Saccharomyces cerevisiae S288C: one gene and its partners. Each later gene encodes a partner of the first gene's protein in a complex. Each region holds a gene or a part of one and is shown on either strand. Other genes may lie near its edges. The genes, in order: MRP21, MRPS16, RSM19 and MRPS18.

Region 1 (2,895 bases):
CTAAGAACATGTGATGCTCTTGCGAACCACTCATGTTATCATCGTTACGATAAAAAATTGACTGCACTATCTGTGGCACTAAGTCACCAACAATAATTAAGTAAGATACACCAACGCCAAAACATTTAACAGCAATGGCAAAATCGAACACTACACTTATTGACGGATTGATTAGTTGGGTGAGTTTAGCAAACGAGGCGTTCTCAGATTTAGGTACGTACTTCGCTATTCGAGTCTGTAATAGCAGCCCACATAAGGAACATATTCCGCAAAATGTTAGCGTTATCAGACCAGGCATTAACCCAAATGGCTTGAATGCAAACGGCATTGCAAGTACGCCTGCTCCACATGCTGTATGGAGCAAAGTTAAGACTCCCGAACGTACGTTTGACGGCATATTGAGGAAGCTGCTTACTTTTCGTTTCCACTTTATCTTGCTGTTCGTTCGAGCAACAGTATTTATTTCCTTTTTTTGACGATGGAAATAATGGATAAGTGAAGTCATAGAATAAAAAATATACAAAAATTTAACTAAATAGTTACGCATTACCTATTTACAAAGACGGAAATCAATGGCGAAAATTTCACAATATTCAAGAGTTGATGGTACGATTAGTATCCTTTCCTCTTGGCATCTTTAACAATTTCAATCAACCTCTTGAAGCCCATCATGAATTCCTTCCTATGCCTTTGAGATCTCTTCAATTCAGCCACTTTCCCCGGCTTCATGTAAAACCGTTGACTTCTTTTATCTCCGGGAATATTGTTCTCAAACATGATCCTGTTTAATCTCTTAAATGATTCTGCAGGGTTGTTCTTATTCACGATTATAGATTTTCCAGAATTGAATCTCATTTGTGCATTCTCCACGCTACTTCTAGCAATTTCCGCCTCGGATAGAAGCTCCCTCTTGTTTATTCTCCCAGCAGATTGCATCATATCTACTGGAATTTCCATTGATAAAATATCTGCATTATCAGTTTTGCTTTTAGAGGTTTGGCCACGATCGCTGTTGCTTCCCTGAGCTAATTTGATTGGATTTAGTATGATTTTATCGATATCCGAATTTTGTTGGCGTAAACAGTCGATCGTTGTGAAACCTCTTCTGAGAGAGATTCTTGAAAGCCTCAGCGTGCTCTTCAACATTATGGTTATGCTCTTATGGGTGATATTTGACAGATTTTTTACTCTTCAAGGGACCTTTAATGACCTGGTCTCACTTATTTTTTATTTTCAATCTTGGGAAAGAAGCGAACTTAAAAAAGAAAGGAAGCCATAGCAAGAAGCTAATAAGTGGGCTTTTACATCAACAAGTACTGTAGAAGCTCTACCGTATTGAAAAATGACAGACGCTGAAATAGAAAATTCCCCTGCTTCTGATTTAAAAGAATTGAATTTGGAGAATGAAGGCGTTGAACAGCAAGACCAGGCAAAAGCTGACGAGTCAGACCCAGTAGAAAGCAAAAAGAAGAAGAACAAGAAAAAGAAGAAGAAGAAAAGCAATGTGAAGAAGATTGAATTACTGTTTCCAGATGGAAAGTACCCAGAAGGTGCGTGGATGGACTATCATCAAGATTTCAATCTGCAAAGAACCACGGATGAAGAATCACGTTATTTGAAAAGGGATCTGGAAAGGGCCGAACATTGGAATGATGTCAGAAAGGGTGCTGAGATACATCGTCGTGTGAGAAGGGCCATCAAGGACAGAATCGTTCCTGGGATGAAGTTAATGGATATCGCTGACATGATCGAAAATACTACAAGAAAGTATACAGGTGCCGAAAATTTATTAGCGATGGAGGATCCCAAATCTCAAGGTATTGGGTTTCCAACGGGTCTCTCTCTCAACCATTGTGCTGCACATTTCACACCCAATGCAGGCGACAAAACCGTTCTGAAATACGAAGACGTGATGAAGGTAGATTATGGTGTGCAGGTAAACGGTAACATCATTGATTCTGCCTTTACTGTTTCCTTTGATCCACAATACGATAACCTGCTAGCCGCTGTAAAGGACGCTACTTACACGGGTATTAAAGAAGCGGGTATCGATGTGAGATTAACCGACATCGGTGAAGCCATCCAAGAAGTTATGGAATCCTACGAAGTGGAAATCAATGGTGAGACTTACCAGGTTAAACCTTGTCGTAATCTATGTGGCCACAGTATCGCACCATATCGTATCCACGGCGGTAAATCCGTTCCCATCGTCAAAAATGGGGACACTACAAAAATGGAGGAAGGTGAGCACTTTGCCATTGAAACTTTTGGTTCTACTGGTAGAGGTTATGTTACTGCCGGTGGGGAAGTTTCTCATTATGCCAGATCTGCTGAAGACCATCAGGTAATGCCCACGTTAGACAGCGCCAAGAACTTGTTAAAAACGATAGACCGCAACTTTGGGACTTTACCGTTCTGTCGCCGATACCTAGACAGACTTGGCCAAGAGAAATACTTATTTGCGTTGAATAACTTGGTTAGACACGGTTTAGTACAGGATTATCCACCATTGAACGATATCCCCGGATCCTACACTGCACAATTCGAACACACCATCTTGTTGCATGCTCACAAAAAGGAAGTCGTTTCGAAAGGTGATGACTACTGAGGTAAAATGCGCTTTCAAATGGCCTCCTCACTAGGTATATGAATACTGTTGTAGTTATATAGATAGTTTAATATGGCTTGCCGCCCGTTTAGAATGATGCATTACCTTATATAAGACCTATGGGGGTCTCAAACAGTGGTATGACGACAGATAATATAAGCACTAGTTCAGACGAGTAAACAATGAGAATAGTGCCAGAAAAGCTGGTGTTCAAGGGTATGTTTGACGAGAATTGCTAGTGTGCGGGAAACTTTGCTACCTTTTTTGGTGCGATGCAACAGGTTACT
Region 2 (2,512 bases), on another chromosome or scaffold:
TTTCAGAATTACAACCACAACCTATCTTAGCCCGCACAAATTCTAACAATAGTGTTAGCAACAGTAATGCCTTTTCTTTACTCACGCCAACGCCTACAACAGATTCCGCATTTAATTTTAACATAGCTCTGCTATCGAGACAACGTAGCAATATCATATCGTCCCCCTTAGCTAGTACTCGTTTACCTACAGCAAACGTGTCCACTGAAGAATCCTCTATTTTACCAAATGAATCATTGAAGCTAAAAAGAGATTTATTGCGTCTTAAAAGGTAAATAGTGCCGAACAGTCAGGAGCACACAATACATGACCTATAATGACACTATCTTAATGAAATTCTATTACACTTTCTCTTTTCTTCACATTCGATTAAGAATTTAATTTATTCCATTTCAAGTCTCATTCTCCATTTTCTGGTTGGCCATAGATGTATTATTTACAAGTCTGATAGATATAAAAGCGCCAAGTAAAACATATATACAACATATACATATACACCTCGCATCAATTAAAACACGTTCCTTTGCTTTCCTTTCTTTTTCTTTTTTTTTTTTTTTCCGATCTTTTTCACTCCAATGTTTCCATTCTTTCAAATACAACTTTCCTATTCACATTGCTGTTCTTACTAGTGGCCCATGCATCATTTAATATACCAGCCTTTCGTAATAGTTTAGTAACTGTTTCGCTAGGTTGTGCTCCCACACCAATCCAATATTTTGTTCTATCAAAATCAAGCTTCACGTCTTTAATAGGTACAACGCCCCTCTTCAATTCTCTCTTGGTCACTGGGCTGGGTACCGGCACGTAGGTTCCTAGTACCTCGATCGGTTTAGCATCCCTCGCCTTACGGGAATTAGCCACTACGATATTATAGACCGGACTATTTTTTCTTCCAAATCTAGCTAACCTTATTCGTACTAGACCACAGGTCATACTTGATAAACTCTATTACAATTTCTTAACGGAATACCAGTCAGAACTCCTCCGTTACTTAAGTCGTGTATATATTCCCCTTCCTTTTTTCTTACAACTGTTCTTGGTGTACTATTTCATTTTTTCCGTCCTGAATGATAGATGATCATAATTAGTGAAAATTTTTCTTTTCGCTGCAGTGTTTAAAATTTTAATTATATCATCTCATCTCATCGCGCAATTAGAACTTCCTCGGTCGCAGTTAATTCTCTCAGAGAAGAGTTTTAGTTTGAAAAGGTTCAACTTATTTTTTTACTGATTGAATTCAACCAGGTAATTTCTAGATTTTGAACAGCATCTCGCGAATTGAATCAGCAAATCTCAGAGTTCATCATGGATCAAGACAAAGTTGCTTTTCTTTTAGAGCTGGAGGACAAGCTGGCTAAAATTCGTTCCCAAGTAAACTCTAAATTGGAGAATCAAAAGCATATTGCTATAATATTAACTGCCGTTGAGGAAAATATTGCAGGTCAAGCTACAAATGATGTTTCAAAAAACATTGTAAATTATATCATTTCCTTTATGTCACTATTGGATCAAGCAGTAGACCCATCTACTCATGAAATAAAAGATATTCAATTGGCTTCCTCATCTACATATCTTCTAGATCTGATATTTCATTATTCGCCTAAGGTATTATTAAGATCGAAGTTTTCTGAAATCCTAACGAAAATTGCCCCATGTATCACTGCAGAAAAGGCTAATGCCCCTCTAATTAGAGCTGCTATTGGTTGTTTAGAATCTCTTCTTATTGCTCAAGATGCACAAGCCTGGAACAATACTTATGATCTAAACGTCACTCCAAAAAGAGGTTTGCAGGGTATACTTGAACTTTCTTTAGATGTAAGACCAAAAGTTAGAAAGAGAGCGCTAGATGCAGTTCATGCGGTCTTATTAAACCCTCCTGTTGCACCAACTGCAGAGCATGTAGCGGCAGTTTTTGTAGCAGATTTCTGTGACAAGCAGTTAGCAGGTATTTTAAATGATCTCTCGAATTTATCAAATAAACAATTGAAAGCACAGAAAACAAAGGAAGACATTAACGCTAGTGTCATGCGCTCTCTAAGGTTGATTACTTCAGTCGTCTCTACTGGACAGTGGCCATCTTCACAGATTGAGCCTCTTTGTGATGTACTATTGGGAGTCACCAAAAGCTCAGAGCAATATCTCGTTTCTGCATCATTTGAATGTTTTGAAAGCATGTTCAAAACAATGGCAGAAACTACCATTTCTTCTGGATTGGCTGAAAATAAGTACCTAAGAGTCTTGGATACCATTTTTGCATTAAAACCCTCAAATGTCGATACATTATTAACCAAGTCCTGGATTGCTGTGGTCATTAAGGGTATGTCCACTTACGCAACACATCAACCACTGAAAGCGCTACGTAAAATTCCTGGTGTATTTCACATTATGTGCACATATTTAGCTAGTGAAACTCCAGAAGTGTACCAAGCTGCCTCTCAATGTCTTATCTCAATCCTTTCTGAGTCTGTTAAAGATGATTTGTTATTGTATACACCAAGTGTGGATGAGAAAG
Region 3 (2,536 bases), on another chromosome or scaffold:
CCACGTTCCCGTTAGTCAAACGGACCCTGCACGCCTTTCTCTGCGCAGAATTCGGCTTCTTGGGCTTTAAAACCATTACACGTAATACGACACCCTTCCGCTGGGGACACTGATCCAGTTGTGGAGCTGTACTTATCTTCTTGCGTCTTGGAGGCCCGGAGCCTCTTTTAATCTGATTCAATGTCGCTTGCATTGTCGTAGTGGAGGAAAACAATCTCTGCGCCTGTCTCAAGGGCGTACACCATGTGTTGGACATAAACCTCGACAACATGGCTCTTGTTGGCCTGCTTCAATTCTGGTGTACCTGTAAGTTCTCCGTCTTTTCCCTGGTTATATGCGTTTTTTCTCCCCAAATCGTTTTGTCGCTCGGGTAAGACTGAAATGCTTTTAAAAGCACTATTACTGTTTATTATGCTATATATATATATATATACAGCCCGAGTCTGGCTTGATCTTATTTACATGATATATCATCTAGAAATCTATATACACTAGATCCCTCATTTGTTCTTGGTTTGAGTATAGCTGAAACGCTTCCTGGTAGGTGCGAACTCGCCCAGTTTGTGGCCCACCATATCTTCTGATATTTCAATAGGTACGTACTCCTTACCATTGTGTATTTGAAATTTCAGTCCCACGAACTGAGGAAGGATGGTGGCGGCCCTTGCGTTTGTTCTTATTGGAGTGCCCTTAGTCATGGCCTCCCTTATGGGTAATGGCACGATGTTGGGGCCCTTCCATACGGACCGCGATAAAAGTCTAGCTGCCGGTTGCATTTTATTTTTGGTGGACACTACTTCTGCCGATGCTGTACTGCTCTTGCAATGAACCTCACCGTTTTAAGTCATGGTTAGATTCTTACTAGGCGCTTCCAATTGCCATTTCTTGCTCAGCCATAACCGTGAATAGTGATCCAAACGCTAATGCCGGGTGATGCTTAAAATTTGAAAAATTATTGCAGATTTGTATTATATAGAAAGCATAACTGGCGATGAGATGTGCTCGAAACTGGACACCTTTACCATTGGTGACCGGTAGTGACAATGTTTGCATCGAGATTTGACCCTAGCCAATTGACTGCTCCTGCAGCTAGCGCACCAGAAGGAATCGTCGGAACTACTCCCCCGGCCATTGTGCCTTTAAAGAGGCAGGCTACTGAATCTGATAATGAAGAATATGGCTCTCACCAAGATTCTGATGAGAGTTCCAACTCTAGTTCAGAGGAAGACGAAGACCGTATGCAAGTAGATTATGGGGCTAGTGAAGAGGATTCGAGTGAAGTGGAAGAGGAAGAGAGTAAGCCAAGTACTCACAGCACAGTGCTATCGAGATTCAAGCAAACAGTATCATTGCAAGAAAGGCTAGGTGCATCTGATATTGCTGAGAGTAAGGAAGACGAAGGTATTGAAGACGAGGCGGCCTCAACTCACCAACTAAAACAGATTCCTCAACCTGAATTCGTCAAAAACCCAATGAATTTGAATACAAATTCATTACAGTTCAAATCTACGGGTTGGTTAAATACTGAGAAGATATATTATGATAATTCCTTGATCAAACCGTTCTCGGATTACGCAAATGAATTAGAAGCAAAACTACTGCAGAATATTTGCAAGAATTTCTCTACAAACACTTTTCCCATCCAATCGATCATCCTAGACTCCATATTACCGGTATTGAACTTCACGTTGAACGTATCTAAGAGAAACTTCACCAGAAGAATCGGTGATATTCTTGTAAATGCTGCTACCGGTTCAGGTAAAACTTTGGCTTACTCCATTCCTATTGTTCAAACCCTCTTCAAGAGACAAATTAACAGACTGCGTTGTATAATCATCGTCCCCACAAAACTATTGATAAACCAAGTTTATACTACGTTGACAAAGCTAACTCAAGGGACGTCGCTTATTGTGAGCATTGCCAAATTAGAAAATTCTTTGAAGGACGAACACAAAAAATTATCAAATTTGGAACCAGATATCTTAATCACTACACCTGGTAGATTAGTAGATCATCTAAATATGAAATCGATAAATTTGAAAAACCTAAAGTTTTTGATTATCGATGAGGCTGATCGTCTTTTGAACCAGTCCTTCCAGGGCTGGTGTCCAAAACTAATGTCCCATTTGAAAACGGATAAATTAGATACACTTCCAGGGAACGTGATCAAAATGATCTTCAGTGCGACATTGACTACCAACACAGAAAAGTTAAACGGCTTGAACCTTTACAAACCAAAGTTGTTCCTGAAGCAAACCGATAAATTGTACCAGCTACCTAACAAATTGAATGAATTTAACATCAACATTCCCACGGCGAAAAGTGTTTACAAGCCATTGATATTGTTGTATTCAATATGCCAATTTATGGCACATTCCCCCATTGCTGCAAAGATTTTGATTTTCGTTAAATCAAATGAATCGTCTATCAGATTAAGCAAGTTACTACAACTTATCTGTGAATCTCGCTCACAATCCAGCGTATTGAAAAACCTTCAAAATTTGGCGGTGAGTATTAATTCTGTCAATTCAAACAA
Region 4 (2,717 bases), on another chromosome or scaffold:
TCGCTGGTAACCTTAGCGTACGATAAGGATACAGTACTTTCGGCTCTGCTGATCACCACCATCGTCGTAGTCGGCGTTTCCTTGACCGCACTATCAGAGAGATTCGAGAACGTGCTGAATTCCGCAACGTCAATATACTATTGGTTAAACTGGGGTCTATGGATTATGATCGGAATGGGTCTCACGGCCTTGCTTTTCGGCTGGAATACCCACTCTTCCAAGTTTAATCTGCTTTACGGCTGGCTTGGTGCCATTTTATTTACCGCGTATCTTTTCATCGATACGCAACTGATTTTTAGGAAAGTGTATCCTGATGAAGAAGTTAGATGCGCCATGATGCTTTACCTGGACATCGTCAATTTGTTTTTGTCTATTTTAAGGATTTTGGCCAACTCTAACGACGACAATTAAAAAAAGGGAAAAATCGAATTATTTACACGAATATATATATATTTCTTCTTCTTTTACATAGTTTATAATTCATACATAGTGGGAGCTGATCATAGTCTTCTCATCTTTGGTGATCTTACACCACCAAACTTCAATTTGGTGGCATCGCTGATCTTCACAACCTTTTTCACCACACTGGCCCCTTCCTTACCAACAAGAGCGGAAATAAAAGCAGCTCTGCCCTTCCCAAAGTCGTCCATCACCACTTCGATATCTTTGTTCAGCATGTTCTTTTCCTTAATCAATTCAAACATTCTACCACTGGTTTGAAATGCAGCTTCATACTCCCCTCTTGCTGCCTTCCTAAACCCTAAACAACCTGTAGATAGCGAAATCTTCACTTTCTGGGGTAAGTTCAAATAGTACAGCATTGTATCATTATACGTAAGTCCCTTATTCTTATGAAAGTTCTTGTCCTCCACAACGCTTGAAAATGTCAAATGCGTGTTATTTTTAGTAAACTTGCCATGTAGAATGTACTTAACTACTTCCTCTTTGGGCTTGTAAACCTCACTACTACCATTTGACTTTGTCAAAACTGAGTCAGAGGACGAAGGATACGAGATATTCGTGATATCCTCCTGATTTGAAATATCCTTAAATGAAAAAGGAACTCCTCTATTCGTGCCGGTAGAATTCCATCTTCTGATAGGCCTGACAAACTGCGTCCATCGGCAGCCTTTCCAAACAGGTTGTAACAGCATCACACGTAACTATAACAGTTCACACTGTCACTTTTTCTTTTCAGAAGAACCACTGCTTTCCACCTGATTTACTCTCATTTTGTCTTCCCTCTTTCCCAATTCATCGTTATTATGCCAAACAGTCACGAAGTACGAAACAAACACTCTCCGCTGCTATAGAAAGTTCCAATCTTAGGCTGAATAATGGAATACTAGTAGCTCAGTGATTATCATCATAATTGAAGCTATCATTAAAAAGCATGCAGCCATATTATGCAGGAATTATATGATCACACGTAGCTGTAGTGGCTTTCGAAAGCAGCATTCTTGCTTCCACTCAGTTCGTATGTAATGACAGTTCAGTGACCCACAAACAACACTGAAAAAAGCGACCTTCATATGCGGAAGAGGGCAGGCGTAACCTCCAAGGGAAAACGACATAGATTTCGCAAGTGAGTGCCATTGTGTCGTGTTAGTAGTGTGGGCAGGCCCGTAACGTGTTTATTGATAGGAGTTAAGCCCAAGACTACAGAGTTCTTTGCTTCATCTTTCAATTTTCTTTTTATTTTCCGAAACCCCCACTCCATCACATTCTAGTACATATGTCTACGGAAGAGCAGAATGGTGTTCCTCTGCAAAGGGGATCTGAATTCATTGCAGACGATGTAACCTCGAATAAATCGAACAACACGAGGCGGATGCTGGTGAAAGAGTACAGGAAAATCGGTAGAGGTGCCTTTGGGACTGTTGTACAAGCATATTTAACCCAGGATAAGAAAAACTGGTTGGGCCCCTTTGCAATTAAAAAAGTCCCTGCTCATACCGAGTACAAGTCCAGGGAATTACAGATTCTGAGGATTGCCGACCATCCAAATATCGTTAAATTGCAGTATTTCTTTACTCATTTGTCCCCGCAAGATAATAAAGTTTATCAACACCTTGCCATGGAATGCTTACCAGAAACTCTACAAATCGAGATTAATCGTTATGTGACAAACAAGCTAGAAATGCCATTAAAACATATCAGGCTATACACTTATCAGATTGCCCGCGGGATGCTTTATTTACACGGTCTTGGCGTTTGTCATCGTGATATCAAACCATCCAATGTTCTTGTAGACCCGGAAACCGGTGTCTTGAAAATCTGCGATTTTGGGTCTGCCAAAAAATTGGAACATAACCAGCCTTCAATTAGTTACATCTGTTCAAGATTTTATAGAGCGCCTGAATTGATCATTGGTTGTACCCAATATACCACCCAGATCGATATATGGGGGCTTGGTTGTGTCATGGGCGAGATGCTTATCGGCAAAGCCATATTTCAAGGTCAAGAACCCCTTCTACAGCTAAGGGAAATTGCTAAATTGTTAGGTCCTCCCGATAAAAGATTCATTTTCTTTTCGAATCCGGCCTACGATGGCCCTCTATTTTCCAAACCACTGTTCTCGGGCTCTTCGCAACAGAGGTTTGAGAAGTATTTTGGCCATTCCGGTCCAGATGGTATCGATCTTTTGATGAAAATATTGGTCTACGAACCACAACAAAGACTGTCTCCAAGAAGAATCCTTGCCCATCAGTTCTTTA

What was found.
Region 2: MRP21 (region 1) and MRPS16 share a complex: the UniProt entries of both Saccharomyces cerevisiae proteins name them as parts of the mitochondrial small ribosomal subunit.
Region 3: MRP21 (region 1) and RSM19 share a complex: the UniProt entries of both Saccharomyces cerevisiae proteins name them as parts of the mitochondrial small ribosomal subunit.
Region 4: MRP21 (region 1) and MRPS18 share a complex: the UniProt entries of both Saccharomyces cerevisiae proteins name them as parts of the mitochondrial small ribosomal subunit.

What each region holds. Positions count from the first base shown.
Region 1 is NC_001134.8:47,076-49,970, reverse strand, and holds MRP21 (mitochondrial 37S ribosomal protein bS21m MRP21), read right to left. Parts: upstream 1,147-2,895; coding exon 613-1,146; downstream 1-612. Other genes in the region: AVT5 (amino acid transporter), read right to left, coding at 1-397; MAP2 (methionine aminopeptidase), read left to right, coding at 1,343-2,608; phospholipid metabolism-regulating protein SCS22, read left to right, coding at 2,791-2,824. UniProt on the Saccharomyces cerevisiae protein: Component of the mitochondrial ribosome (mitoribosome), a dedicated translation machinery responsible for the synthesis of mitochondrial genome-encoded proteins, including at least some of the essential transmembrane subunits of the mitochondrial respiratory chain.
Region 2 is NC_001148.4:528,418-530,929, forward strand, and holds MRPS16 (mitochondrial 37S ribosomal protein bS16m MRPS16), read right to left. Parts: upstream 934-2,512; coding exon 568-933; downstream 1-567. Other genes in the region: CIP1 (Cip1p), read left to right, coding at 1-275; mRNA-binding protein RRP12, read left to right, coding at 1,306-2,512. UniProt on the Saccharomyces cerevisiae protein: Component of the mitochondrial ribosome (mitoribosome), a dedicated translation machinery responsible for the synthesis of mitochondrial genome-encoded proteins, including at least some of the essential transmembrane subunits of the mitochondrial respiratory chain.
Region 3 is NC_001146.8:694,552-697,087, forward strand, and holds RSM19 (mitochondrial 37S ribosomal protein uS19m RSM19), read right to left. Parts: upstream 777-2,536; coding exon 501-776; downstream 1-500. Other genes in the region: mitochondrial 37S ribosomal protein uS12m MRPS12, read right to left, coding at 1-271; putative ATP-dependent RNA helicase DBP6, read left to right, coding at 1,044-2,536. UniProt on the Saccharomyces cerevisiae protein: Component of the mitochondrial ribosome (mitoribosome), a dedicated translation machinery responsible for the synthesis of mitochondrial genome-encoded proteins, including at least some of the essential transmembrane subunits of the mitochondrial respiratory chain.
Region 4 is NC_001146.8:56,592-59,308, reverse strand, and holds MRPS18 (mitochondrial 37S ribosomal protein uS11m MRPS18), read right to left. Parts: upstream 1,155-2,717; coding exon 501-1,154; downstream 1-500. Other genes in the region: BXI1 (Bxi1p), read left to right, coding at 1-411; serine/threonine/tyrosine protein kinase MCK1, read left to right, coding at 1,736-2,717. UniProt on the Saccharomyces cerevisiae protein: Component of the mitochondrial ribosome (mitoribosome), a dedicated translation machinery responsible for the synthesis of mitochondrial genome-encoded proteins, including at least some of the essential transmembrane subunits of the mitochondrial respiratory chain.